4 linked regions of the Drosophila melanogaster genome follow. The protein of the gene in region 4 purifies or fractionates together with the protein of the main gene of each other region. This does not show direct contact. Each region holds a gene or a part of one and is shown on either strand. Other genes may lie near its edges. The genes, in order: Cdc45, Psf2, Sld5 and Mcm7.

Region 1 (8,599 bases), on a different chromosome or scaffold from region 4:
CTTCATGACTCAACGATCCCCCTGAAGTCCAATGCACTGTATAAATGCCAGAATTTTATTGTGGTTCAGGGGATTCTGTTTCTCTTGATGGCCAAGCGCCATCCATGCAGCAGAAGCGACAGAGTTCACTTCTGCAATGCCAATTTGTACAAATGGCTGTGAAGCCGGCAATGCCCCGTAAGAATGCCGAGTCAAAATGCGCACGGTGTCTAGTCCCGTGTGCGACTAGAATGCGAGCATAATTCTCAAAAACTGCATCATGCCCATTTGCGGAAAAAAACAGAAAAAAAGAGACGGATAGATAACGGATGAGGGGGAAAACGTGCACTCAGAAGTGACTCCTCCCACATACACAACACACACAGTGTTCACTCGAAAAAATGGAGTTTCGGTCGTAAAAATGGAGTTTCGCTCCTTTCCCATTTCTACAGTTTGGTGAGAAAATATTACGGTTAAATTACTGACCTACCTTAACTCGAAAAAATGGAATTCCTGTTGTTTCCCAGTTCGAATGTTTGTCGAGGAAAGATAACGGATAAAATTACGCACGCACCGTTACTCGAAAAAAATGGCGTTTTTGCTGTTTCCCCTTTCGACACGCGCAAATCCACAATGCGCGGAGCTTTGCTTCATGGCCCGACTGAATGAACTGAACTGACAGCGCATTAAACGCCGGTATTATTAGTGTGACCACCGATGCGATAGTTTATAATACCATGGTATACCCAAAATAAATACCAAAAACTAACGGAAAGCACATCAACTGTTTCTGCCGCATAAACAAAAACTGCTGTTCGTCTAACGTGAAACACATAACTTTGAAATTATTGCTTTGCCAACACCGCCCAATGATTCGCAACGTAGTGGTGGGCGTGTCGGGCGGCGTGGACAGCGCCGTTTCCGCCCACCTGCTGGCGGAGCAAGGATTCAAGGTGCTGGGTGTGTTTATGCGCAACTGGGATGAGGCGGACGAAGTGGGTCGCTGCAGTGGGGAGGCGGATCTGAAGGACGCCGAGTGGGCGTGCCGGCAGCTCGGCGTGGAGCTGCGTCAGGTGAACTATGTGCGCGAGTACTGGACGGCGGTGTTCAGCCAGTTTCTGGACGATTACCAAATGGGCTTGACACCAAATCCGGACATCCTGTGCAATCGCCACATTAAGTTTGACCTCTTTCACAAGCACGCCTTGGAAAATCTCGGCTACGATGCCGTGGCCACGGGTCACTACGCCCGGAATAGTCTGGGCAACTACCTGGAGGGGATTGCCTCCAACAACGACGCCCGCTTGCTAATACCCGCCGATACGTTCAAGGACCAGACATTCTTTTTGGCAGGTATTTCCCGAAAGGCTCTGCAACGCACGATGTTCCCTTTGGGAGACTTCCAGAAGAGCCAGGTCAAGGACTTGGCCAAGAAGATTGGCTTCCAGCGACTGGCCAAAAAGAAGGAAAGCACTGGCATTTGTTTCGTTGGCAAACGCAACTTCAAGGACTTCATACAGGAGGTAAAGCACTTGCCGCGATTGAAAAAGCACATGGCTCAATTTCCTTGATTTCACCACGGACTCAAATCTGGTTTCCCTCCACTTTCAGTACATCACTTCCAAACGTGGTCCCTTCCTAGACATCGACAGTGGAGCCGTTGTCGGCCACCACGAGGGCATCCATCAATGGACTGTGGGCCAGCGGTGCCGTCTGAGCTCATTCCTTCAGCCCTATTTTGTGGCCAGGAAAGAGGCCGCAAGCAATACCATCTATGTGGCATCTGGCCACAACCATCCCGCCCTTCTCAGCACCCACATAGCCGTCGATCCGCCCAACTGGCTGTGTTCCAAGTCCCAACAGATTCTTTCGGACACTGGCAGCTTGAGGTGTCGCTTTCGATTCCAGCACACCAAACCATTGGTGGACTGTCAGCTGAGCATCTCTCCCAGTAACACTTTTCTTGTCGAGTTGGACGCTCCTTTAAGAGCTATTACACCAGGACAATATGCCGTATTCTATGACGACACAGCTTGTTTGGGTTCGGCCCGCATCCTCAGCGCTAATCCCCTAAAGAAAAAAAACGCACAGACGCAGCAAGCTCAAGCCGCAAATCTGGTTAGCTAATGATGTTTCCTCTGAGCCAGAAAATAAACCAAATGTAAGAAGGCAGTCCAACTGCCAACACGGCATGTATAGATAGCATGGTAAATACGTTTTCATAAATTTAAGCGCCGAGTAAATTTTAGACGTGAATCGACACTTTTAATTCCATGGTAAACACTTTAATTTAAATTTATTATTCTAGGTCAAATTTACAATTAGTTTTTGAAAAAGGACATTTTGCATTTTGTGGTCCTGGGAGCAATGATAAAGTTATTAACACACAATCGTACATAAATAGGGTTTGGTAAAATCTTAAACTAAGTGTACACGTGAGGTCTCGCGATATAAAACTAGCTTAGCACATAATATGATTGAGCAGGGATGTGTCGGTAGCAGGTAGAATAGAAAGCGGCGTGGATTAGGCTAACAGCACCGTGAGGGAGTCCAGAAAGCGTGTGAGGTCGCTCTGCCGCAGCTGCACCACCGCTGGCTCGAAAAAGTCCTGCAATAGAGCGACTCCACTCTTTTGCGCCGCCTGCTCGAAGGCCTTGCCAAAGAAGTTTCGCGGAGAGTCTTCCCTTACCGGGACAATGCCTACCAGCAAGCACATGCCCTCCGAAGCGTTCAGGGGACAACTTGCGATCAACGGCAAGTCCGAAGCCTGCCTGGCTCTACTCGTGGCCACATGTCCGCGCAAAAGAAAGCGAGCCAACAGTCCAAGGGCATAGGGGTATGAGAAGAACGCGTGTTCCTCCTGCAGAACGTAGTAGAAAAAGGAGCCCGCTGAATGAACTTGGCGTGCCTCCAAGCTGCTCTGCACCTGCCGAAAGACAGCAGCATGCAAAAGCTTCGCCTGGTCGATGCCTGCAGACAGCAGCTGCTTGTGCTGACGACTCAAAGCATCCGAGGCCTCCAGAAAGCAATCCTCCGGAGTCTTGTGCTTCTTCACGGACTCCATGATGGCGAGCAGGGCATAAACGTAGTCCGCCGCAGCATATCTGCTGCGGTAGCCGTAGCTCAGCGTAAAGGTGCCGTAAACTATGTCCGCTATGTCGTACTTCTCCGCCAGGCGCTCCACCATCGAGAAGAACTCCTTGCGCAACACCAAATCCATGGCTCCGTACGTTTGGCGGGCGTGCACCAAGGGAAGTCCCATCTCGAGCAGCAGCTCGTGTAATCTCTTCTCTCCGCGCAGTGTCCACAGCTTCAGCTGGCATGAGGAGTAGCGGGAATACCTACGATTATACTACATGATTAAATGGCATAGAATACACTGTCAATGCTCACCTCATGGATTCCGTGACGGGCCAGTGGCGGTACAAGACCAGATGCAAATCATTCTCGAAGGTTATCTTGGAGGCACTCATCGTGTTCTGATCATTCGTTTTGTTCGTCAGTCGGGACACATGCGACTGGATTTGCTCCAGCTCCAAAGTATACGCTCCACTCTCGATCTTGCCCAGCAGCAGCTGCTCCGTGATGCCCACAATGGCCCACCAGAGCAGGTCCATGTTGTCTTTTGAGAGCTTCCAGGCCAACTCAAAAACCATCAAAGCGGCGGACCTGCCGTAGTAGCTGAACTGCGTGTACTCGAACATAATCCTGTCGCGCTCAGACTCCCACTGTCGGCGGGCTCGCTGCTTCAGGATGCGTTGCTCGTGCCGCTCCAGGCGACTGAGCTTACGGCTCCTTGGCGCCTGATCCTCCTGGTCCGATTCCCCGGCACCACTGTCGTCGTGCTGCTGTTCCGTGTCAGAGGACTCGTCCTCATCCTCGTCTTCACCTTCAGAGTCATAGAAAATTGTCTCGAACGCTGGAATATTCTCCTCCAAGGAGGCATCCCCCAAGATGCACACCTGCCGATCGCTGTAGATGTTACACACATCCAACGGGCGATGTGAATCGCATATGAAGAAGGTCACGTCGTCCGACGGCTGCAGGAGCTCCACAATATCTACACAGCCGCCGCAGTTCACCAACACCACGTACTTAACGTCGCCCTGGTGCTCTCCATAGGCCCGCTTCAGACCCGTAACGCCCATTATGGGCACCACGGTGTACAGCATGTGATCGTACTTGAACAAGGCCTGCAGGATGCGACTGGCGCAGATGGCATCGATGTCGTAGTTGACCACGATCAAGATGCGCTTGCCAACCAGCTGGCGGTAAAAGTCGTTGCGCAGATCCTGGACAAACATGGTGAACACTTCTGGCGGGAATCCCAATCGTCTGCCTAATCTGTCTACGTCTAGACACAACGGTCTCTTTCCAATCGCTTACGATGCAAAGTAGAATTCTACATGAGTGCAGTGCGTTGCATTTTGAGGGTTTCCCTGCGGCTTGCGCTATTTTCCAGCTTCCCACTGCCGCTCCACTTTTGCTTTTCTGGCAATCGCAATTGGCGAATCAAAAACGCGGGAAACAGCTGGCTTAGCCAGTGTGACCAGTGTGAAATAATGGAATGGCGCGGAAATACAATCGTTGCTGGGAAAAGAATATTCTGCGAATTTCCAGAAATTTTGAGCTGCCAAAAACCGAAATTATAATCACATAATGTTGAATTTTGAGAGCTCTTTGCAGTTGCTGCTATTGCAGTAGGAGCAATATCTTGGCGCTCCAGATACGGTCACACCGCGACGCCCATGTGTTTTGAATTGCCACAAAAACGAAAGTCTACCAGTCGACCAGCTTTGTGCGACAAAAGCCTCAGAATATGAGCAGGGACAACAAGATGAAGCACCTGACCCAGCGGGCCATCTCCTCACGCATGAACTACCTGTTCCAGGCCTCGAATTTAATGGCAGTAGGCAATCAACCAAAATTGGCCGCCTATTATGGCAAACTCTGCCGCAATGTGGGCACCAAGGCTATCATGCACATGTAAGTGGCTTCTCCAGTGGAGTATGGGCAAATAATTCATGGCGTCAACTGGTTTCAAGGGCCCCGGCCGTGAAGCGTTCCCTGTGCAGGCGCTGTTTCCTTCCCCTGATTCCCGGAGTGAATACGGAGCTGCATGTGGAGGAAGGAGCACAGGAGGCCAAGACTGATGCACAAGCTCAATCGAACGGAGCAGTCAAAACGAAGAAAAAGCGCCATCGCAGGCAGCGCAAGAAGCCCAGAAGCCGGAAAACAGGGAACACCAACCAGGAGGAATCCGAGGAGCAAATCCAAGAAAGTACTGAACAGGTCTCTTTTTTCTTAGAGTGCTCACTCTGCTGCGGCCGGCGAAGCTTTGCGGCGAACAGTCAAAGAGACTGCTGGTTGGAGCAGCCGCAATCCATAGTGCAAGTGGTCTCGCTCCCCAAAGAGAAAGACGAGCGATAAGCTGAAGCTTTGCTTATCAGCCAGCCTGCCTGTTGTGCCATCACCTGATTGCTCGGCAGTTGAGCCTGGAATGCTTAGCTGTAGGCAACTTATTTCTCGGCTGAGCCTTCTTCGGCAGGCGAGCACATTTGCTTGTGTGCGACTATGCCCCGACTATGTAGAAGTCCAGGAGGAGCAGGGCAATCTCCTGAAGTACCCCCAAGTTTGGCTTAGGGACAACTGTCAGTGTGCCGAGTGCTTCCACGCCGCCACAAGAGCAAGAAAAAGTCACTGGGATCGTGGCCCGCTGAATATACCAGTGTCCCAAGTGGCCTACAACAAGGAGAGGAAACAGTTGGAGATCATCTGGCAGGACAAGCACAGGAGCACCTTCGATCTAGGCTGGCTGAGGGAAAGGGACTTTGGAGAGACTGGCAGAAAGCATTACTTGGAGGAGGTCTACAAGCCACCCGCTCAACTCTGGGGAAAAACGGAGTTCGAGGATGTGAAAAGAGAATTCCAATACGAGGATGTGCTGGAGCAAGATGCAGCCCTGAGAGTTTGGCTTGAGGCACTGGCAGTCCAAGGATTCGCCATTCTGAAAGGGGCACCCAACGACATAAATGTGGCTAAGAAATTGGCCGAACGAATTGGCTACATAAAACGCACCACCTACGGGTAAATATTAACCAATAGATGACATACTTCATCGTACAGTACCAGGGTCATAAAACTCACATTTGCCGAGAGCTGTATTATCTATCAGTCCACTAAATATTATCACTATCGGTTGATTGTTACAGCCAGAATCAGGCAAATATTTTCAACCAGGTGTCCATTTGTACTCATGATAAAGATTTGATTACCACTTACTCACGCTAGATACTACTACAGAATATGCTAGCCACATTTCATAAATTAAAAGGGAAAACACCTTAGTTGCATTACTCAAGTTCAGCTATAAATTATCTACTATCCCGCCTCCCCTAGCGACGTTTTCGAGGTTAAATCCAAACCAAATGCGCGCAACTACGCCTATCTAATGACTCCCCTGCCGCTTCATACCGACATGCCCTACTACGAGTACAAGGCGGGCATCAACATCCTGCACACCCTCGTCCAGTCGGAGTCAAAGGGTGGAGCAAATACGCTGACAGATGGCTTCAACGTGGCCTCGCAGTTGCAAAAACTGCATCCGGAGGACTTCGAGGTGCTCAAGTCGGTGCCCGTTAACTGGTTTGACATCGGACACGACGGCGATGACTCCAAGCCCTTCCACAGTCTCTGGAGAGCGCCAGTAATTTGTTTGGATGTGGATGGCCGGTTCGCGAGGATCAACCAGAACACCACTAAGCGGGACAGCCGGTTCTCCGTTTCCCTGGCGCAGGCCGTGTCCTGGTACAAAGCCTACGATAAGTTCCTTGAGATCGCCCAGTCCGAGGCGGTGGAGTTCAAGACCCAAGCCGGCGATGTGTTCGTCTTCAACAACCTGCGAATGTTGCACGGAAGAACGGCTTACGAGGATGCGCCGGGCAACAAGCGTCATTTGGTGGGCGCCTACGTCGACTGGGACATTATTTACTCCAAGCTGCGAACCCTGAAGTTCCCAAATGCCAAGGATTGACTGAGGGAATGTTGTGAGATTTAGTTGAAATGTAACTGTGAATTAAATGGTTTTTTTTTACACATGGCACAGCGAATAAATTTTGGGAGGTGTATAAATATTGTGTCTCAACTTGCAAATGAATTTCACTTGAAACGTGTTTGAATCCTACGATGAACGGCGCCGATACTATCGATACAAGCCCAGTGGTCGAGCACTTCTCGATACTGCCGTGGTTGAGTAACTCCGCTCTGGCATCGCGATAACATCGATATAACTGCCACCTCTAGCATAATATATGTACTACATTTATACAAATATAAATATAATGGAAATATGAGAATTTAACCAAACACCGCCCGAAATATGAGTGTAGTATGTGCCTATGCAATATTAAGAACAATTAAATAAAATAGCATATTAACTTATGGCAGCACTTTGTTGCTATGTTTATGTTTATGTTTATGCACGCAGTTAGGCCAGGGCGGATGTAACATGATCACCCACTCGAAGGCCACAAAGTATAAGTGCATTGCCCACTCGAAGGCAAAAAGTATAAGTGCATGGTCAGCATTCACACGCCGACCAAATACATATTACATACGTACATACATATCTCGCTCTCCCGATAAGCCTAGATATATAAGATATACATAAGAACGCCGCTCCGCTGCTGGCGTACCCGGCAGCGCAGCTACGCGGATTAGCCTAAGTCCAAATATATTAAAAAACTGTAAAATCAGGGAGAGACTCGGTAGACGTTGAGCTGACAGAACCATTTCTGCCTACTCTAAAATCAAAAGAAGAAATTGAATAAATATATGTCAGCCCGACGGCTGCCTTCAACTTAAAACGGACTTGTGTTCTTAATTGGAGTTCATCATTACATGGCGACCGTGACAGTCGTCCAACGCTGGACGAATTGACCAAAGCTGGTGAAAACAAAGGAACAAAGGAACACTGGACTGGAAGAAGACTGGACTAATTAAATGGAACTGCAAAAACCAAGGAAAAATCTGAGTGAGTAGAGTTCTATTGAGTATGGGCAAACACCGTGGCGGTTTGAAAACTAAGCTGAATAAACGTATAGCCCACGTAAGGTGGCTAATATACGGTCAGCAAACGCCACCGGTTTGGTCGAAAGCTCTAAAGCTACATGCAGAGCTAGACCACTTGTTGCAATATCAGCAAGAATTAAAGACCCATAAGCTCGAGAAAACTCACTCAGATAATATTAAAAATATACCCACAATTAATGAAGTTCCAAAATACCAGGCATGTCCAGCACCAGCACCAGCATTAACAAAACCAAAGAAGTCCTGCCCCCCCTGGCTGCGAAGGAATCTGGAGTCCCCACTGCCTGGGGACTTGTGAGCGACCATCGACGTCTTCAGCGGCGAAGAAATAGACAGCAGCGAGGGAGTGTCAGCGTGCCACCCCCGGCGACGCCCAGCTGACACCCAACAAATAGACAGCAGCGAGGGAGTGTCAGCGTGCCACCCCCGGCGACGCCCAGCTGACACCTGATGAGCATCATCAACAGCAGAATATAATAATAAATATATATAAATATAAAGTAAATATAAAATATATATAGATAAGAAAAAT
Region 2 (3,230 bases), on a different chromosome or scaffold from region 4:
ATCAATCAGGGACACCTCGCACTGCATCTTTTGGATGGTCTCATCAATACCGGCCAGCGATTGCTCGTTGGGGAAGAGCTGGTTGATGTAGTCCACAGTGTTGAAGTCCGGCGCATCCATCGGATCGTCCGTTTTGAGAACCTTTTATGGACATTCGAATTGGGTTGGTAATTGCTACCAACATATGTTCCACTGACTCACCTTGTCGATGACCTGCTTCACCTCCTTGGAGAAATGGATTTTGTTGTTAGCAACCATCCTTTCTTCCGGCTCCACCGCTACCGCAGACTCGCTCATCTCGCTTTATCCTTATTTATTTGTATAAAAAAGTTATTGTTATTCTCTTCGTGGAAAACCAGGGATACAGTGCAATTATATGATAGCAGCTGCTGTTAAATTGCTGTCGTGCTGTAAGGCGCAGTCCTGTTAGATAAGCGCATATCGATAAAGAAATTTATCGGAATTTGAAATGCCTTATCAAAAACTTCTAATTCTAATTACTTTTTTTAATTTTCTGAAAGCATTTATATTTAATTTTAAGCATACAAATATTTTTGAACTTTTGAGAGGTTTAATGACTACAGGCTACATAAGCTCCTGCTAATAACTAAATCTATTATCTTAAATGTTCCCAACAATGTTGTTTGACTGGAATAATCACTGAGAAAACAGAGAGTTACTGTTCGGACCCGAACTGGAGCCTGCCATGGATGCACTTAGCATGGAGGTGTCCCTTTGAGACGCAGTGGCCGTGCGCTGGTACCGTGCTATGTGGTCCAGGGAATAGGGCAGAATGGGTCTCACGCTGTGGATCTCCAGAAGCGTGAGGTTGTCTAGCTTTGCATATGTGCCCTCTCCCTTGATAAAGGCGTCGATCGAAGTGCGCAGCTTGGACTCGCGTATGTCGAAGATGTCCTTGATCACAGTGCGCAGCTCCTCGCAACGCGGAACGTCATCCGGAGCCGTGCTCATGACCAACTGGGCCACTACCATGTAATGCTCACAGGGCATTTTGGTAAAGAACCTATGGGCAGGCGGAGAATAAGATTTGCTTTCCACGGGCATACCCACATCATACATACTTTGAGCGCTTTTCCTCCTCCTTGATTTCCTCCAATATATCCATGTCCATCCATTCTGGAGGTACAATTCGGCACTTTTGTTGCTTGCGCAGATGCGTGGCCATCCACAGGGGCACGAAGACGGGAAAACCGGCTCGGAAAGGGCCCACAGGTCCGTATATCAGGTGCAGAGGCTCGTTGCTGAAGTTCGGTATTATGCTGATCATGCATTTTTCGCCAATAAATTCAATAATTGAAGGATCCATAATTGCTATAAACAAACAAAACAAATGCGGGAACATACGGTCACTCGAGCGGCCAGTGATGACACCTGTCCGCTATCGATCTCAATGCTATCGACCCAGTGATCTCTGCAGTCTGGCAGCCCAGCTCTGCTATTGACCGTTAATAACGGTGTTGTTTTCCCAACAATCTGCTTGCATCACGAATCTTTCGCCTGCGGGCTCTGCGTCAATTTAATCACGTCAAACTATAGACTTCTGCGACATAATAGCCACAGTTCGCCACTATAAATATGCCAACCGTAATTCGGCGACCTTCGGCCGGGTTATCTCACCATCATTACCACTATCGCCGGCCGGATCGGATCGCATCGCATTGCTGCACCGCTACAACCGATGGAGCTGACTAATTTGTTCTCCCGGTGCGAATGTGTTATTGCAGATTCCGGCTAAGGCGACGACAACTATCAAGAATCACGTAAAACGCCAGCCGGGCATCGTGATAAGCGCATGAATGCCAAACATGATCAAGCGTTCAAGTTCAGCCAAGTTTTCCGTTCTATAATATATAAGCTGCCCGGGCGTAATCCCTTGCACCACTTCGCCGTAAAATCCGAGACTAAAATGCACTAGATAGCCTTATCGGTCTTGTATCTTTCCGGGCAAATAAAACTATACGCCCGGTAATGAACTCCAGAAATGGCGGTCATTACAAGGTTAGATCTGCACTAGCTGGAATCCCAAACTGAACAGATTTCAACTGCAATCTGCAGACAACTTCGATAGAGAAACGAAAATAGAAATACAAATCTTCTGTGTACAATTCGGATGTTCTTTATAAGGCTGAGCCCGAAGCGTAAACAACAGCATCGATTTGTTGACTTATCGCATCGAGAGACAACATCGATGAGATGGAATGGGATGGGTGGTGGTTAGGGGGAGGAGGCGGAGGATGATGAGGTTGTGGCCGTCGTTGCCGTGAAATGTTCCCGAGCTGATAATACCAGGCACGGCCAGTTAATTCTAGAAAACTATCTGCGGTGTGTAAACTGCGGCACCGATAGTTCAGATCACATCCCCATGACATCTAACCCCTTCAAGGATCAATTGGGTGAACACTTGGCCACTAGGCCAGGACAGAAGCGGTAGGTATTCTCCTGCGCAGGTTTCGATTCTCTCACATCCGCTGGGAAAAATGTAATCAGCGCGAGAGGAGCAGATGCCGGACGATTTTCTGATAAGCCGGAGAGTGGACTGTGGAACCCATGATGGAATGGGTGGAGGGGGTTGGCTGGCTGGCATTAATTTTTAGCAGAAAAGTGCGACTTGATCGCCTAGTTGGCTTAGTGCTTGTCTATTTTCGGCAGGGTACGGAGCTGCTGGCTCTCGCGACCATCGAAACTAACGTAATCGACTCACCGCCAATCAGCCAGGAAAATTGCCTGCCATTTCCACGTAGAATTGCATCTGAGAGTAGCTTTGATAAGAAGGCAGTGATTGACTTGGCTTCGAGCAGTCTTCAGTCATCGATCAGCGCATCTCGAACCAAATTCGGCAACGGTCGCTCTCGCTTCGGAAGAACGGACTCGTTCATTGATAAGCCTGGATTTGAACTAGACGGTTGTCTAACCTCCACATCCGCGAATTTTCCCATACGCTGTTGTCAAAAATTATGTGCTAGACTTGACCGCAGGAGAAGATTCGTTTAACTCTTCTACAGCTAGCTTACCAAGGATCACGATGCCCGACACGGAAATCATCGTTACCAATGCCGGGGAGCCCTCCACCAAGGCGAGTCTCATCGTGGTATCCAATCGGTTGCCGTTTGTGCTTATCCGAGATCCGAAGACCGATGAGTTGGAACGCAGGGCCAGGTGGGTACATTAAAAAAAAAAGACTTATATAATCCAGTTTAACAAATACGTGT
Region 3 (6,630 bases), on a different chromosome or scaffold from region 4:
CTCCCCGAACACCTCTTCCGCATCCGGACTGGCATCGATCCGTTTCACCTGGCCGGCGCCCTCGAAGAACTTGATGATGGGCAGCGAGTCGTTGTTGTATGTCGAGATGCGCTTCTTCAGGCTGTCCAGGTTGTCGTCCGTCCGGCCAGAGCCGCTCTGGCCGCGGCCCAGACACCGTTTGACGCACACATCCTCGCCGCAGTCGAAGAAGAGGACAAACTGGAAGTCCACCTTCTCGGACATCTGGCGGTTCCAACCGTCCAGATTATCCTGATTGCGTGGGAAGCCGTCGATGAGGAACCGCGACTTTCCCGACGCCTTCATGGCGTTCTCCAGCAGCGAACACGTGACCTCGACGGGCACAATTTTGCCATTGCGAATGTAGTCCTCGATGAGGTTACCGAATTCGGAGCCCTCCCGCGACCGCTCCTCGCGCAGGAGATCGCCGGCCGAGAGATGGGTGAATTGGAAGCGATCCACGATCCTGGAGCATTGGGTGCCCTTGCCGGCCCCGGGACCGCCCAAAACAAAGACAATCTTTGGCTTCTCTACGCTCATGATTCCGATATTGTGTGGTGGGGCTGTGGAGGTGGTGGTGATGAACCTATTGCTGGCCTTGGAATGTCGCAATTGGTGCTGCGTCAGCGCTGATGGTGCGAGACCGACTCCTGGTGAACCGCAATCGTTGGCTACTGCTCTCAACGTCGTTCGTGCCAAAGCCCGCCACATTGACGACTGAACCAAACTGAAGGCAAATTGAATGCGTGGTTTATGTGTATGCCGCCTGCAGTACACCTCACCACTGTTTTCCACTGGAAACGTAACACCCTGTGACGTCACGCACAAGCGCAGCTGTTCGCGGGCGTCCGTTCGGCAACACTGGCGCCGGCTTTAGCGGGAAGCGAACCAATTTGAATGGCATTTTATGCAGTTTACTTCCGGTTCGATATTAAATAAATTAAATTTAATTTAAATATTCTTCTACAACATTTTTAAATGTACCCTTAAACATGCAGCTTTGCAGAGTTTGATTTTTAATTTTTTTTATTATCATGTATATTACCTGCTAAATAAGTCTTTTAAATTAGCTGCGCTTGGTTGTTTTGTATCAAGTCGGCCACTAGTTGGTAGGGAATAATATGCTGGGAGCCGGCCGCCATGTCCACCTCCTCATCATCGACGCCCACGATCACAGCGGGCACTGGAAAGCAAAACAAGAGTTAAGCGGTTATCTTAATTAGATGACAAAAGGTTATTACCTGCCACATTTGCCTTAAGAAAGACATGGCTCATCAGATTGGGCGTCACAATCCTCTGCTCCGCCTCTCCTCTCTGCTGGTTGGGCATGTACTGGGTGGCTACTTTGTGGAAGTACTCATCCACATTACTGGCAAACTCCTGGGCGAACTTAGTCTCCTCGGGAGACAGACGTTTGTCATCCGGCTCACGGCTCTCCTCCTGGTTGAGGATGTGCTGCGTGAAGGTTTCGATCTTCTGCAGGCGGCAACGCAGATAACTGGCCATTATGTAGCGCACCCTCTCCAGTTCCATGGAGTGCACCACCGCTCGGAAATCGTTCTTGTCCAGATCGCGCATCTGCTCCTCCATGTGGGCCACCTGGGAGACCATCAGCTCCAGCATGTCCGTCTGGCTGGGCAGGATCTCCGGCGCACACATTTCATTTATCCACGCGGTTTCTATGATTTCCAGAACCTAGGGATATCAGAATGTGATTACTTGCGTATTAAAAAGCTGTGTTACGATTTACCTTACCTTCTGAGCTGTAATCTGTTCCATATCGTCATCATCCTCATCCTCCAGTCCGGCGCCATCGCTGACATCGATTTCTAACTGGGTTTCGGGCACGTCTTCTACATCCGACATGGTTTTATTTATTTGTTTATTATTTTGCAGATTTTGGCGCAAATTTTGGGAATCGTTGGGAATGTCACTCCAGTAATACAGTTGACGTTTTTCATCACTGTTTCATTTGTTTTTACTCCGTGTGAATGGCACGTCTAACCGTTATCGATATCACAAAAGCATGCGATGGCAGCCGCACAACAAACTGAATTCCAAAAGAATTTTAGAGTGATTGTAGAGAAGATCTTCAATCACTGGCAGGATCTCCGGCTGGCGGTGGAGCATGGCATGGGCGGACGCAATGGCCAACAGGTTGTTGCTCGTATACCCTGAAACCGTCTTCTTTTCTAACCTAATCGGAGTGTCCGTTTTGTAGGTGGCCATAGAAATCATGGACTACACCTACCAGTACTGCGTGTCCAACGAAAATATCACGCAAGGCGAACTGGTGGAGGTCCTGGAGGAGCTGATGGACCAGGAGTTTAACACCCTCTGCGACGACGACTCCATTCCGGAGATCTGCCGGAATCTGCTGCGCTACAAATTGATGGCCCAGCAGAACCAGTTTCCGCAAATAGAGGCTGAATTGAGTAAACTTCCTGCTGGCAAGGAGTGGCTGCGTCCGGATGTTAAGATCACCTACACACCCATCGATGGGGACTCCTCATCCGATGAGGACATGGACGACAGCGACGAGGAGGACGATAATGAAATGGGCCAGGGCGACGAGGAAACTCCCAGCGGCAGTGGTCGGATGACGCGATCGCAGGCACGAAAGCAGCAGGCTGAGGAGTTTGTGGAACCGGAAGACGGCTGGACCACCGTGCGAAGAAAATGAATTTCGTCGGGATGATTAAAAAGAAACCTGCTAGTTTTTTAGTTATAATACGCTGTATTTACTTCCTGGAGGTCCAGAAAACGCAGTGGTGGAATAGGTGCACGTGTCACAGGTTGGTGGAAAGTCCTGCACAGGTTGCAGTTCACTGGAGAGGCCTTCTTTGATGCGGAATCCTGGCTGACCTTGCCTTTTTGCAACTGCGACCAGGAGGTGAACTCTGTCCCCTTGGGCAGTGCCAGCTTTGGATCCACCACCGAGGCAATGGAATCAACATCCACTGTCATCGATAGATTTATGGCAGGATAGATGAGGAAGGCAAAGAACCAGGCGAAGACCAGCACCAGAAAAGGCACAAATACGGCAAAATACTTGTCCGGCAGATACGAGTGCAGACCAAACTCCACTGGCAGCAGCGCCCAAGTCACGTATACGAGGAAGAGGACCGTGAACAGCATATAGAAGGCGAAACCATAGACCGCCCTATGGGGAGTCGGAGCTGGAGTGTGTTCCGGCATTGTCGTTGCTCTCGGGGATTAGTTTCTCTTTCTTGGAGTCTCCGAACTGGTTGATGGTGTCCTGGCACAGGAGCAGGCACTCAAAGAAGGAGGTGATGGCAGTGCGCAGGCTCTTCACTTGATCCGACTGAAAGTGCACAACCAGAACATCGTTCTCCAGGCTCAAAGTTTTTTTCACGAAATTCCGGCGCGGCTCCTGGTCGACACCGAGGACTTTGTAGGCGATCTCGGCCAATCGTGGCGTCTCAAACGGCACTCTTATTATGCTAATGAGGCGAATATTTATTACTAAATTTATGTTTATTTCTTTGTTAAATGGTTAAACTTACGATTCATTTGGTTTATTTGCAATTTGTGGCATCATAAAAGTTTTAACCAATCTGAAATGCTCACATGTCAACGGAGAAAGTTAATGACAATTTATGAAGAAGAAGCATTCACCGGCTGTTTATCTCGTGAACAGCTGATTGAAGAATTCAAATGTTTAAAAATGAGCATTCTTCATAATCACATTTATGTTTTAAATTAAGCGCTTGTTAAGTTTTTGAAGTTAATAACAATGGGAAATAAGCTGTCAATTAAAACGTTAATTTCTTCAATTTGTGGTTTCTTTATTACAAAAAAAAGGTGTTCAATATCATTGCTCCAAACAAATCCTTCTGGTAAATGGTTACTTCTTGGACTTGACGACTCCTTTAGGAGCGCCCTTGGGAGCGGGCTTCTTGCCGGCGACTTTGGCACCTGGCTTTCCGGCTGCCTTTCCCGCGGGCTTCTTGGCGGCAGCCTTCACCGGCTTCTTCTCCACAACCTTCTTGACGGGCTTGACCAAAGCCTCGCGCTGGCTCTTCAGAGCCTTGACGATCTTCTGCTCTTCGATGAGGAAAGCGCGGACGATTCTCTCTCGCAGGCAGCTGTGGCACAGGACACCTCCGTAGGTCCTGGAGACGGTCTTCAAACGCTTGGACATCCTGGGACGCTCGCTGGGCCGGGAGGGGGTGATCCCGTGGAGTTTCTCCTTGCACTGACCACAGCGTGGCACAGTGGGGTTCTTCTTCACGTACTGGTACACCAGACGGCCTCCGGGAGTGCGCACACTGTAAACAAATGGAAAATCCTTAGTTATCGTGGGATATACAGCATATCTCCTGCTACTCACATGCGCCTCTTGTTGGAGCGGGTGTTGTACGACAGACGTCGTCTCAGAGTCAAGCGTTGGACCATTTTAAAGCTTCTGAATCCAATTGACCACCCGGAATAAACACCATTTCCAAGGAATTCATGGAAAAAAACAGAACAAAGACGAAACATCAGAAGTGCGTTGCCACTACATGGTAGTCTAGTTTTGCATCGCAATTAACGTCACTAAAGCGCTTTTTGCAATCAAAATAATCATTACAATTAAAACACAAACCTCTCCGGAAATCAAAAGAAGGAAGAAGAGAAGCTAGAGCTGGAAGAAAAATTGATGATATTAATTGCTATCGATAATTTCAAAACATTTATCTCGAACACATTTAACTGACACAATATATATTATTTAGTACCAAAACCAGTTGTTTATTCGTTCTACTAAACTTTTTAGTATGTAAACTTCCAAAAAGTACAAATATGCATTATTGGACTTTGTGTAGCCCTGACCCGCCACTTTACTTAAACTTATCGATAGCCTGTTGATTACCAAACTTCCATCTCTATTGCTTAAACACGCGGCTATTTTGTAAATAAAAAAATCTTCTTACGGTTTTTAACTAAAAACATGAGTTTTCTGAAACCCAAGACCCACATAGAAAAGGGCGATGTGGTCATCCTTTATTTGAGTGTCAGTTCCATGCATGCCATCGAAGCGGTGCCCGAAATAGTGAACAAAAAGGGCGAAACAATACCGCATATTTTTCAGACCAATTATGGATCGCTAAAAGTTGAAAGTAAGTTAAAGTTATAGATTTAACGGATTCTCCTAATCCCAATTCCTATTCCAGATATCATCGGCGTGGAGTATGGTAGTAAAGTGGAGCTCTCCAAGGGCTGGGCCCATGTCCTTCAGCCGACGCCGGAACTCTGGACACAAACACTGCCCCACCGCACACAGATTATTTACACGCCGGATATTAGTATGATTATCCACCAGCTGGAGGTCCGACCCGGTGCCGTGGTGGTTGAGTCGGGCACGGGATCGGGGTCTCTATCGCATTACTTTCTAAGAGCACTGAAACCCACTGGCCACCTGCACACCTTCGATTTCCACGAAGCTCGAGCGGATCAGGCACGCGACGAGTTCCGGCGACATGGTATCGCTGACTTCGTCACCGTCTATCACCGGGACGTTTGCAATCTGGGCTTTGGTGCGGAACTGGACGGAAAGGCCGATGCGGTCTTCTTGGATCTGCCCGCGCCCGATCTCGCTGTGCCGCACGCCTTCAAGGCGTTGAAGCTGTCCGGTGAGTGGCCAACATCGCGTTGACAACTAGTTGTCAGCGCCCTTTTGCGGGCAATCCGGCAATCAGGCGGATATGTTGGGTTAACTGGGATGACCAGGTACATTCACATACATGCAATAAATCGTCGAAATTGGTACACTAAGTTGTACCTAGGAGACAACTTTGTTTAGACAGCTTAAATTTTAGTTATAGTAAAATAACTTAACAAAAACTTACTTCCATTTTAAAAAGAAAAAAGGGCTTAAGTGTACCTAATTGGATAAAAGGTACCTCAATGCTTTCTATATTGCAACACTGTCGGTAGGTCAGTCAGTTATCCATCCAAAGAGCCAAAGATCCAGTCAGCTAGTCAGTCCGGCTGCCATTTCACTGTGTTTGACATTGAATGAGCCCGCTTTTGACACTTGATGCGGCCAAGGCAGGCTGACCGGGCGAGTTTGTCATTAGGCGGATGGGAGCTTCCAATGTACAGCAGGTTTGCACCAAACCTAGGGTGCTACTGTATTGGAGGCACAAATAAATTGTCAGGCATATCCAATACCAAAAGAGTTAGGGAAAGCTTGCCCACCAATATATTTAAATTTTAAGAAGCTATAATGTAGTAATTACAATTGAGGTCGAGCAGAAAAGGCACCAAAAATGTATAACCGGATTTCCCATTCTCTTTCTTTCCAGGAGGTCGTTTCTGTTCGTTTTCGCCCTGCATTGAGCAGTCGCAGCGCTGCATCCAAGAGCTAACCAAGCTGGGCTTCAACGAGATTGTTTCCTTGGAGGTGCTGCAGCAGGAGAACGTGGTGAAGACGCGCACGCTGCCCGTCATCGATCTTGAGTTCCTTAAATTGCCCAAAACCGATGAGACGACGGCGGCAACAAATGCCTTGGAGAGCAAGGCGCCAAAGGAGGTGAAGAAGTACCTGACCTCCAGTAATCCCCAAACCCTGCCCGGTCACACGGGCTTCCTCACCTTCGCCACTTT
Region 4 (9,095 bases):
GGTATATCCCCAAACGAGTTGCGATCCGTCGTCGGTTTGAGATCGGCAGGCGGAAATCGATGGAACTCGCCGCGAGTCCGGAATAAACTCCGAGCCGCCCTGAGCTTCAATAAGAGCATGTAGATCCCTTCGTTCGAAGGAACTTGGCTTTATAACAAAATCTGTGTATCGTCCTTAGTAGAAAAATTGCACCATTTTTAATATATCTCTATGTGTGTGTAAATCGTTGTCCCACAGTGACGTGGATCGTGTGTGTATGTGACGATCGTATTGTGTGAGGTCCTGAAAGGAATAATACATCGAATTTATAGGCAAGGATCATGGGCTGTTCTCGTAACTTGATTAAGCTGTGGAATTCAACAGATCTATTGTAGTTTTAAATGCAATTTGCAAAAGTGTGTATTGTTATTTGGATGTCTTTTAAAAAGTATATAAAATAAAATCATATTAACCAGAAAAACAGCATACATTTTGGAACAAAGGAGACACACTCCTCAAGTCAAATACAAAATTCTTATTTATTTATGACAATGATAAATGGTAAAGTGACAATGTATGAGAGTAGTTTTAACGATTGGCGATAAAGAGACATAAACTTATTTACTAAATGTAAGATGTGGGATGAAGCGTGCGATCTACATGAATGTGATCTTCGTGCGTCCCATGTTGACCTGCCAGACATTGAGCTCCTCGTAATCATCGATGCATTTGTCCACCTGGTCGGGCTTGAATCCTTTGGTTGTGCAGCGGTCCATGATGTCGGAGATTTTGACTGCCTTTCCAGAGCCAGCCAGTTCACGAACGATGGCAAAGATTCGATCCGAAGTGTTGGGTACGCTGAAAATGAGAAATATTTTTGTTAGCACAAGGATTTACTTACATCCTTTGCAACTACTTACTGTCCCTTCTGGTGCTCGTGGATTTGGTTGAGCGAGTCCTTAGACATCTCCAGCAGACGCAGTGCTTCAGCCACATCATCTTTCTCCACGCTATCGGAAAGACGCAACCTAGCCAAAGCGGTGGACAACCGCAGGATTCCCAACAAGTTACGTGCCGAGGTGAAGGTCATGTCCTTCTGGTTGCGCGCCTCCCGACGCAACTCCACATAAGCTCCCACAATGTAGTCGGTGAGCTCATCCGGAATAGTTGGATTCTTGCGCTTGCACAGGTTAATGTAGCGCCGCATAAGATTCATGTCCAGAGCCTTTACTCGAGTGGGTGGCTGTTTGCTGTGGCTATGCACATAGGTTATGTGCTTGGCCAAGCGCAAATCATTATCGCGATCCGGTTTATCCTGGATGAGCCACAGCAGATCGAAACGTGAGAGCAGGGCTGCGGGAAGCTGAATGTTCTGCTCCACGGTACGACGAGGATTGTAGCGTCCAAAAGCGGGATTAGCAGCGGCCAGGATGGAAACGCGAGCGTTTAGGGTCGTCATGATGCCTGCTTTGGCTATCGAAATGGTCTGCTGTTCCATCACCTCGTGAATGGCTGTACGATCCTGATCCGCCATCTTGTCGAACTCATCAATGCAGCAGACTCCCTGATCAGCCAGCACAAGAGCTCCTCCTTCCAATGTCATCTCGCCTGTGAGAGGGTCCTTCATGACCGCAGCGGTAAGACCCACCCCCGAAGAACCTCGCCCTGTGGTGTACTGCGATCGCACGGCCAATCGGCTAATGTAGCCCAGCAGCTGCGACTTGGCCACACCGGGATCTCCCATCAGGCAGATGTTAATGTTGCCACGAATCTTCATGCCATCGGGCCGCTTGTCAACTCCTCCGACCAACAGCAAGAGCAGCGCTTTCTTAACATCCAAATGGCCATAGATTTCGGGTGCCAAGCTGGTGGCCAAGCGCTCGTAGAAGTCATCCTGGGCCAATTCCTCCAGCTCTTCTGGAGTCAGCTCGGCATCCTTGTCCGAAATCTCGTCGTTCTTGTTGATACAGATGATGCGCTATTAGGAAGGTAACAATATATTAAACATTTATATAATATTGTTGCACTTAAACGAGGTAACTCACGTGAGCTTGAAGGAATGTCTCCGAGAGCAAACCCTGAATCATCTGAGCGAAACCTGTGCGCATTAGTGGCAAGAACACTCCAGAGACCACAATGTGATCCCCAGGCTGGGCCATTCGAGTGACCTCACCCCTGCACATGATGGTCATGCTGCGCGGAATGTGGCCCACGGGCACCTGGTCGCTGTGCTCCTGCATTTTGACCTCCTGGAACTTGACGAACTTGGAGCCGCGGGTCTGCAGATACAGACGACCTCCCGCTTTGTTCACTCGGCAATCATCCGACGGGCAATCGTGCACGGGCGTGAAGGATAGCGAGTTAACTGGCTGATACGTCTCCGAGCCACAGCGATCGCATGTGTAGGTGGCAACCACCATCATGGGCTTAACCTCCGTGCAGCGTGTAACAATGCCGCGAACGGTGACCAGTTTACCAATGTGCTGGGCCTTAACCTCGCGAATAGAGTGCGCCTTCTCTGTGGACAGTGGTTTGAAGCCCACCTCGCTAAAAGGAGTTCGATTTTTAGAGTTAGATTCGGAGGAAAACTGCGAAAATCGCTCAATTGAAAAACTTACAATCGCTTCATCAGCTCCGAGGGGAAAGAGTTCCGCTCATCGCGCTGTTCCATGGGATTCCTGGTGCGGGACTCCATCATCAGGCGGTGCTCAATGTACACATCCAGAGCATCCTTGGCGTGTACCTCCTGCTGTTTGTAGCTGGGCAGGAGTTCAGCAATTACATCGCTGAATATGGACGTGTATCGCCGACAATTGTCGACCACCGCCTCCGCGAGACTTTCATTGAATTCCGCCAGATCATCCAGATCGATGGTGATCAGAACTTGCTCTCGATGGGCCAACTTCACCAGCTGAGATCCGTAGACGAACTCCTTTTTGCCATCATCGTCGCACTTGCAGAATTCCGAAAGGAAGGTCTTGATAGATTCTGCAAATCAACAAACATTGAATGTTTGATGCTTCGTCCAAGATAAAGACTTCTTTGTACTTACCTCGGTCTTGGGCATAATCTCGTCGAGCCATTTTGGGCTTGGTTTTTTTTTTTTTTTTGTACTTTCAACAATGAACAACAAATTGCGTACAGCTGCTTGCCAAAGGTGTTTTTTCGGACGCTGTTTGCTGGGAAATGCGGGGAAAACAATGAGAATGTAAACGCTTCCCGCCAAAAACGCGTTTGATTAGAGATGGTACTATAGATTGAGATGTGAGATAAATTAAAAATATAAAACTATCGTTATATTTTTACATAATTACATATGTAGAATGTATAATGAAAATTGTTGTTATAGATAATTGTAATTATAGATAACTTCAAAATTAATACATTTAAATGTTCGTGAACCATAAACTTACACTTTTAAATATTTATTACCATATCATTATATCTTTAAAATACACGTACTTTTAATGTCGGGAAACATGTAGAGTATTTGCTTACATGTCCGGAGCTGCCACTCTGACTTCTTCATATGATGGAAGTTGCCACCCGCAATTCTACACATGTGTATTCGATTCTAGTCAAGAATGCTGAGTTCAATGGTGTTGCCACCTGCTTGCATAATTAAGACGCGCTAAATTTGAATTTCAAATATTGACGTTTATTCAGGTTTTAAATGAAATTTACAAAAGTTCTCATTTTCGCTTGTCTGCCGTTACACTCATAGCACTATTGCGTATCGCTTTCAATAAACTTCTTGGACTTGCGTTTCTTGTTACATAATTATTTATTGGTTTTTAGGCATCTAAAAGTAGTACATTTATTTTTAGTGCAATTTTCGATTCGCATTGGTTATCTCCGAATAGATTTACAACGAGTTACAATTTAATATGTTGCGTTTACGTTTAACTTAAATATTATTAATCACATGCAATAGTTAAATAATAATGATACAAATAATAATTATACATAGTTCAACCAGCTCGCCGGCACAATACGATCTAATTTCGATCGAATCGAAGTGTATATGCGATATATGTATGTATATATGCCTATATGCCAATTTGTGTGCGGCGGCAGTTGGCGTTTCCTTTGTTAATTTGCTACTAACTAAATTTGTTGTTTTCGTTCAACTGTTTGCTTTTTACACATTACGCGCTAATCGTTACGTTTACGCACTAGCATATAATTACGATTTAATTAGTTAATTCATTTATGTATTTATATATATATATATGTATATATATAGACTGCATTCTTATCGCTGGCGCCATACTCGTTTTAATGCATATTTCATATTCATTTGTATATATATATATTTACTTGTTTTTTTTTTTAGAGTGCCGCCAGCGCTGCTCTCTGGATTTGATTCAGCAGCGCTCTGCCCCACTGTAAAGTATCCGTAAGATTGCAACATTAGTTTCGATTGAAATTGCAAATTTGCGAACTGTGATTTGTGCGCTGAACTCTGCATTTTCTGCACTCTCTCCCCAAGAAGAAATCCAAGTGCTCTGTGAACTCTAATTAGCTGAATGCATTGTATGACATTTTTTCCATTTGTTATCCCCCCAAGGTCGTCTTCTCTCTTTGTTCATATAATTTAAGTAATGCTACATATAATATACGTATTAATATATCAATAGATTTTCATCGATTTGCCTTCGTTTTTTTTTTCGTTTTTGTTTGCGTATAAAGCTGTAAGTCTTCTAGTTTTTCCGTGCGTTTACTCAACTAAATTCCATTCGTATGCATTTCGCATTTCGATTACCCAATTGATCAATTTCAAAATTGTTCGCATTCGTTCAGTTCGAAAGGTGTAGACAACAATAATTTCATTTTAGTTTAACATTCACTGAGCTACAGCTAACAGATTTATATCCTTTACGTATATAATATATTGTGATCGCCCCCAAAAAACCTAGCAATTGAATGTGGTGCCACGCCTCTGATTTTAGATCTGTTTACTTGTGTAATTACACCGAAAAGGAACAACTTGCTTTGAACATTGAGCTTTGTGTACTGTACGCTATATATATTAACATGTATCTGAACAAACTGCACACTCTATGGAAAAGGGATTCTGCTTGATTGCGAGCCTATTTAGTTTAATTTTCGTTTTTAGTTAGTTGTGTTTAGCAATTGCTCGATTCGTATGCAAATATCCAACGCATTTATATGGCACACAAGTCTAGTTGGATTCGGCATGGAAGTTCGATGAGCATCAAATTTGGAAAAGCTAGAAGGAGAGGTGCACTTCAAGGGTTTCACGGTTCGCTTCTGGTTTGTAAAGTTGTTAGTCGATTGCTAGATGAATGCGCTTAGGGCCTATAAATTACTTGTAACAACTTAAGAATTACACAAATAATAATAATAATGATAATAGTTATTAATTAATGATTTAACTCGATTCGTGTGCATCTGCTGTTGCTCTTCTTCTGGTTACATCATTCATTGCCCTCGCACAGTGGGGGGCATTGCGTTTTTTGTGTTCAATCCCTTGGGCTGGGGCAGCATCCTTAACTACAGCTACTAAAGAGCATTGTGACTAGAGTGAGGAGCATCCACGTCGCGGTGCCTTCCAGTGGGTTGGACCCACTGGTCTTGCCGCTGTCACGCGACTCCACTTCGTTGGTGGTGGTGCCTTCGGATTCCTCGATGGGCGTATGGGGTCCTGAAAATAAAACAAGAAAATGGGTTAAGAGGAATGTTTTTTTTTTTTTTTACGGAAGGAAGCGACCATGTAGGGACTTTTAAAGATTTGTAACAACTTACCATCGCCGGAACCATCTCCGGAACCATGTGCGCCTCCATACTCCTCCTCATCGTCGCCGATCTGACCTTCTCCGCCGCCGGAGCCCTCACCCATATCATTCTGGATGTCGTGCGTCGCCTGTATGCTGTTGGAAGGTGCCTGTGGAGGTGTGCCGAAAAATGAATAAAGTGTTCCAAATGCCCAAATGGTGGACCAAACTTACCGCAGCTCCAATGCTCTTGCGAATCTTGAAGAGCTTGTCGACCAGCTCGTTCAGCTTGCCGGTCTGAGCCTTCGCATTGAAGGGCACCTCGGGATTATATCGCTGGCTATCAGTGCCCGGATTAATCAGCAGCTGAGTGTAGTCCCCGAAACGATCGCCTGACCAGCAGGAGTGATCGTCACGAGAGTGCTGTTGCTCATCGCAGAAGCTGATGAATGAAAAAGTTATATGAGCTTAGTAAGCTTGTTGTTACAATTCACTATTTCGTTGTTTTGAAATTCACAACAACTATTCTGTGTTGTTCAATAAGTTTAAAAAAAAAAACAAAATGTTCAAGGAGCTAGTATTGTGGATGCATCATTTGGCCCACGACTTTTGCTTGGCTCGCCCAATGCCACCGATACCTCGACATGTAAGTTTTAAATATTAAAGCATATAATTAAGCTTCGAATTTGGTTAATATAATATTTAATTCTAATTTTCAGGGCTGTCGTGTGCCAGTGAAGAATGGATTTTTCGCCAATTTGATTTTCTTTGTGGCCATTGTGACGCCGTTGTACTTTTGCCTGTTGAAGGACGTGATCGCCATGATAACCAAGCCCAAGAAGCGTTAATCCTCGCCAAGGACACTATCCTTTTTAAGTCATAGTTTGGTCAGTCAATGTAGTTGCTAGTTGAAATCCCAACCCAATCAATATAGTTTGTGGCATCGTCTAAATACTCACTTGTCCACGATGGTCGTGTAGAACTCCTTGCTCTTGTCGATGGTGGACAGGAAGAGGACCATGCCCGGATCCGGGTCAGTGGCCCACTTTACGTTGTTCTTGTGGGGCGGAGGCCGCGCATCCGGTTCTCCGGACGAATAGGGCGTCAGGCTGGGCGTGCCACATGTCTTCTTTACCTGCAAGACAATTGGGGGAATGTTAACCATGTAGAGCTTCGGTTTGGGGGGTTCCATTTCCACTTGCTAATCGCCGCCGCTCATGCAAGGCGCACGTGTCTGCCCGCCTCCCAACTGACCCATTATATTAAGCTGACCAAGTGCTCATCGCCCTGCATGTAAATTGCAACTTTATGGTGGGTACGGGACTAAACTGAACTGAACTCTGACTCCACTCGAATTTAGCATTTTAAATTCCCGGCAACATGCCAATCGTGCGAACGGCTATCAATTGGATGTCATGTGCATGTTTAACAAGATCTCGAAATGCCAAAGATATTTTTTTAAAGACTACTGCCGCTGCAGCGAGCAGAACAAGTTCGAAGGCCGGAACTGAATTCCGATCCATTAAATTCATTTAAAATGTTCATAAATTAACTGGCAATTAAACCATTAAACGATCGTGTCCTTGGGACGCCAGTTAACGAAATCGATCGCATCTGCAGATAGATGTCTGAAAATCAGAGCTGTGTCCTTGAAATATCTTCCACTCATACATCTTATATGTTTATGCAATAAGAGATAATGCGATTTAAAATCGAGTGCACTTAATGAATACTTAATGTGAGCAAGTTATTTAAAGCTTCGCTTATTCGCTCGTTTGCTCTTAAATTTTTGAAAGGATCTACTTACCTTTTTTTCCAGTTCAGGCCCATTGTGCATGGCAGCCATGATTGCCTCAGAGAAATAAGTCTGCAGGTGTTTGATGACATTAATGATGCCGGTGTCCGAGAGAATATGGGTGGTGACCAGATTGTTCAGGGAGTCGACTACACCTGACCAGGGACTGTCCAGTAGTCCGGCATATTCCGCCGAACAGCCGCTGAAGATCATAAAACAGAGGCATTACAAATGGTCGGTATAACAATTTATAGTTTTGAAAATATATGTAAATAAATTGATATAATCTTTTGAACATATCGAAACCCCTTTCCGCATTTCAACTTACCGCATTACGTTCTTGCAGTAGCCGTAGCACAATTTCGTTTCGCTCCTAGAACTTGAATGGTGTCCATTGCAGTTGGGGCAGTAGTGCATCTTGAGGAGATGCAGTTTGCACGTGTCCGTCAGTTGTTCGCCATAAAGGGCATCCGCTTCGCTGAGGACCTCGGCGGCCTGGAGCAGGGCATTCATGAAGACATTGGACATATGGACACTCTTGCCCAAGTTGGACTGCACTTGCTGGGGAATGTCCCCGAATGGATGCATCTCGTCGAAGTTGTGCTGCAGGCAGTTAACGTAGTCCTCGTGCAAGTCACCCAAATTGTTCTTGGACAGATGGACCATCTGGTGGTAGGCCACGGGGAACAACTGAACAAAGAAGTGCCTGACAGCCTCCTCCAAGTTGCTCTGGACACTGCCAATTCCTCGCCTGCCCAGTTGGCCATTGCTGTTCGTATAGTTGGAGGTGTAAATCAGATGGCTAAAGGAGAAATTACTCAATTAGAATTAAACTTCTATACTCGAATTAATTAAATACAGCTAGTTCGTTGTTTTATTAGAGTAAATACGAGCACTTACTTCATGATTTCGGTGTACAGTTGATGGATCATCATACGCGATGAAGGCACCATACGGGTATAAACCTTCGAAAAGAGCGAGTGGGTCATGTTCTCCGAAATCTGCGCCAATTCCAGGACGTGACCTGCCGCAATGAAATCAGAGAGAAAAGCATCCATGAAAATATTGTTATGGTTATTGTTAGTCCTAGCGAAATTTAATCACTTTGCCGCCAAAAGTTTCCCCTGCTGGGATTTGCTGGGAACTTTTGCCCTAATGGACTGGCTGGGACTTCCACTTCCGCCCACTTGGAAAAAAGAATTGTTGCCATTGCTCTTTATTTCTGGGCATGAGTAAGCTTTTAGTTAATGAAATACAATTTAATATGGCTGTTATCCTTGCCAGGTAAAATGAAATATGAATAAAGTTGCTGAAATACAAGCTGAAATCTACTTAAAAAAGTGATTCCATTACTGGCATTATTAAACCCCAAAAAAGGTTAAGTTAGCAATTTGTTGCTAAAAAAACAAGTAAAATAAATACCAGTAAAAGTTTTTACTTTAATAAGGCTTTAATAAGTTCTATAAATATATTTTCTACCAATAAATGAATACTAGTTTTTGCTGTATTGGAATCAGATGTTCTTTATTAGACTCCCCTTTTAATTACCATTTATCGACTGCTATCTATAATCTGTCAATCAT

The links.
Region 1: the proteins of Mcm7 (region 4) and Cdc45 purify together in Drosophila melanogaster (affinity purification with western blotting; 3 studies listed by BioGRID, with this or other methods). This does not show direct contact.
Region 2: the proteins of Mcm7 (region 4) and Psf2 purify together in Drosophila melanogaster (affinity purification with western blotting; 2 studies listed by BioGRID, with this or other methods). This does not show direct contact.
Region 3: the proteins of Mcm7 (region 4) and Sld5 fractionate together in Drosophila melanogaster (co-fractionation; one study listed by BioGRID). This does not show direct contact.

The regions. Positions count from the first base shown.
Region 1 is NC_004354.4:1,026,045-1,034,643, forward strand, and holds Cdc45 (cell division cycle 45), read right to left. Parts: upstream 4,513-8,599; 5' UTR 4,284-4,512; coding exon 3,373-4,283; intron 3,321-3,372; coding exon 2,504-3,320; 3' UTR 2,247-2,503; downstream 1-2,246. Other genes in the region: CG3021 (uncharacterized protein), read left to right, coding at 849-1,502, 1,591-2,106; Rpp21 (ribonuclease P/MRP subunit p21), read left to right, coding at 4,799-4,965, 5,025-5,409; CG14630 (uncharacterized protein), read left to right, coding at 5,480-6,066, 6,379-7,012.
Region 2 is NT_033779.5:4,385,682-4,388,911, forward strand, and holds Psf2 (partner of Sld five 2), read right to left. Parts: upstream 1,676-3,230; 5' UTR 1,639-1,675; intron 1,390-1,638; exon of another isoform or gene 1,333-1,389; 5' UTR 1,328-1,332; coding exon 1,083-1,327; intron 1,025-1,082; coding exon 658-1,024; 3' UTR 501-657; downstream 1-500. Other genes in the region: Vps53 (vacuolar protein sorting 53), read right to left, coding at 1-141, 202-297; Tps1 (Trehalose-6-phosphate synthase 1), read left to right, coding at 3,044-3,177. UniProt on the Drosophila melanogaster protein: The GINS complex plays an essential role in the initiation of DNA replication.
Region 3 is NT_033777.3:26,054,608-26,061,237, forward strand, and holds Sld5 (Sld5), read right to left. Parts: upstream 1,941-6,630; 5' UTR 1,885-1,940; coding exon 1,774-1,884; intron 1,714-1,773; coding exon 1,260-1,713; intron 1,202-1,259; coding exon 1,080-1,201; 3' UTR 1,050-1,079; downstream 1-1,049. Other genes in the region: Cmpk (Cytidine/uridine monophosphate kinase 1), read right to left, coding at 1-729; CG14543 (uncharacterized protein), read left to right, coding at 2,050-2,175, 2,240-2,701; PIG-P (phosphatidylinositol glycan anchor biosynthesis class P), read right to left, coding at 2,740-3,216; Tcs6 (Threonyl-carbamoyl synthesis 6), read right to left, coding at 3,182-3,482, 3,546-3,580; RpL34a (ribosomal protein L34a), read right to left, coding at 3,887-4,310, 4,373-4,437; Trmt61 (tRNA methyltransferase 61), read left to right, coding at 4,973-5,141, 5,196-5,654, 6,330-6,630.
Region 4 is NT_037436.4:8,885,716-8,894,810, reverse strand, and holds Mcm7 (minichromosome maintenance 7), read right to left. Parts: upstream 3,216-9,095; 5' UTR 3,063-3,215; coding exon 3,032-3,062; exon of another isoform or gene 2,968-3,031; coding exon 2,598-2,967; exon of another isoform or gene 2,527-2,597; coding exon 2,025-2,526; exon of another isoform or gene 1,958-2,024; coding exon 900-1,957; intron 838-899; coding exon 636-837; 3' UTR 501-635; downstream 1-500. Other genes in the region: TrpA1 (transient receptor potential cation channel A1), read left to right, coding at 1-123; CG43169 (uncharacterized protein), read left to right, coding at 6,280-6,363, 6,437-6,565; dally (division abnormally delayed), read right to left, coding at 5,493-5,647, 5,749-5,887, 5,952-6,159, 6,677-6,852, 7,525-7,714, 7,841-8,314, 8,413-8,536.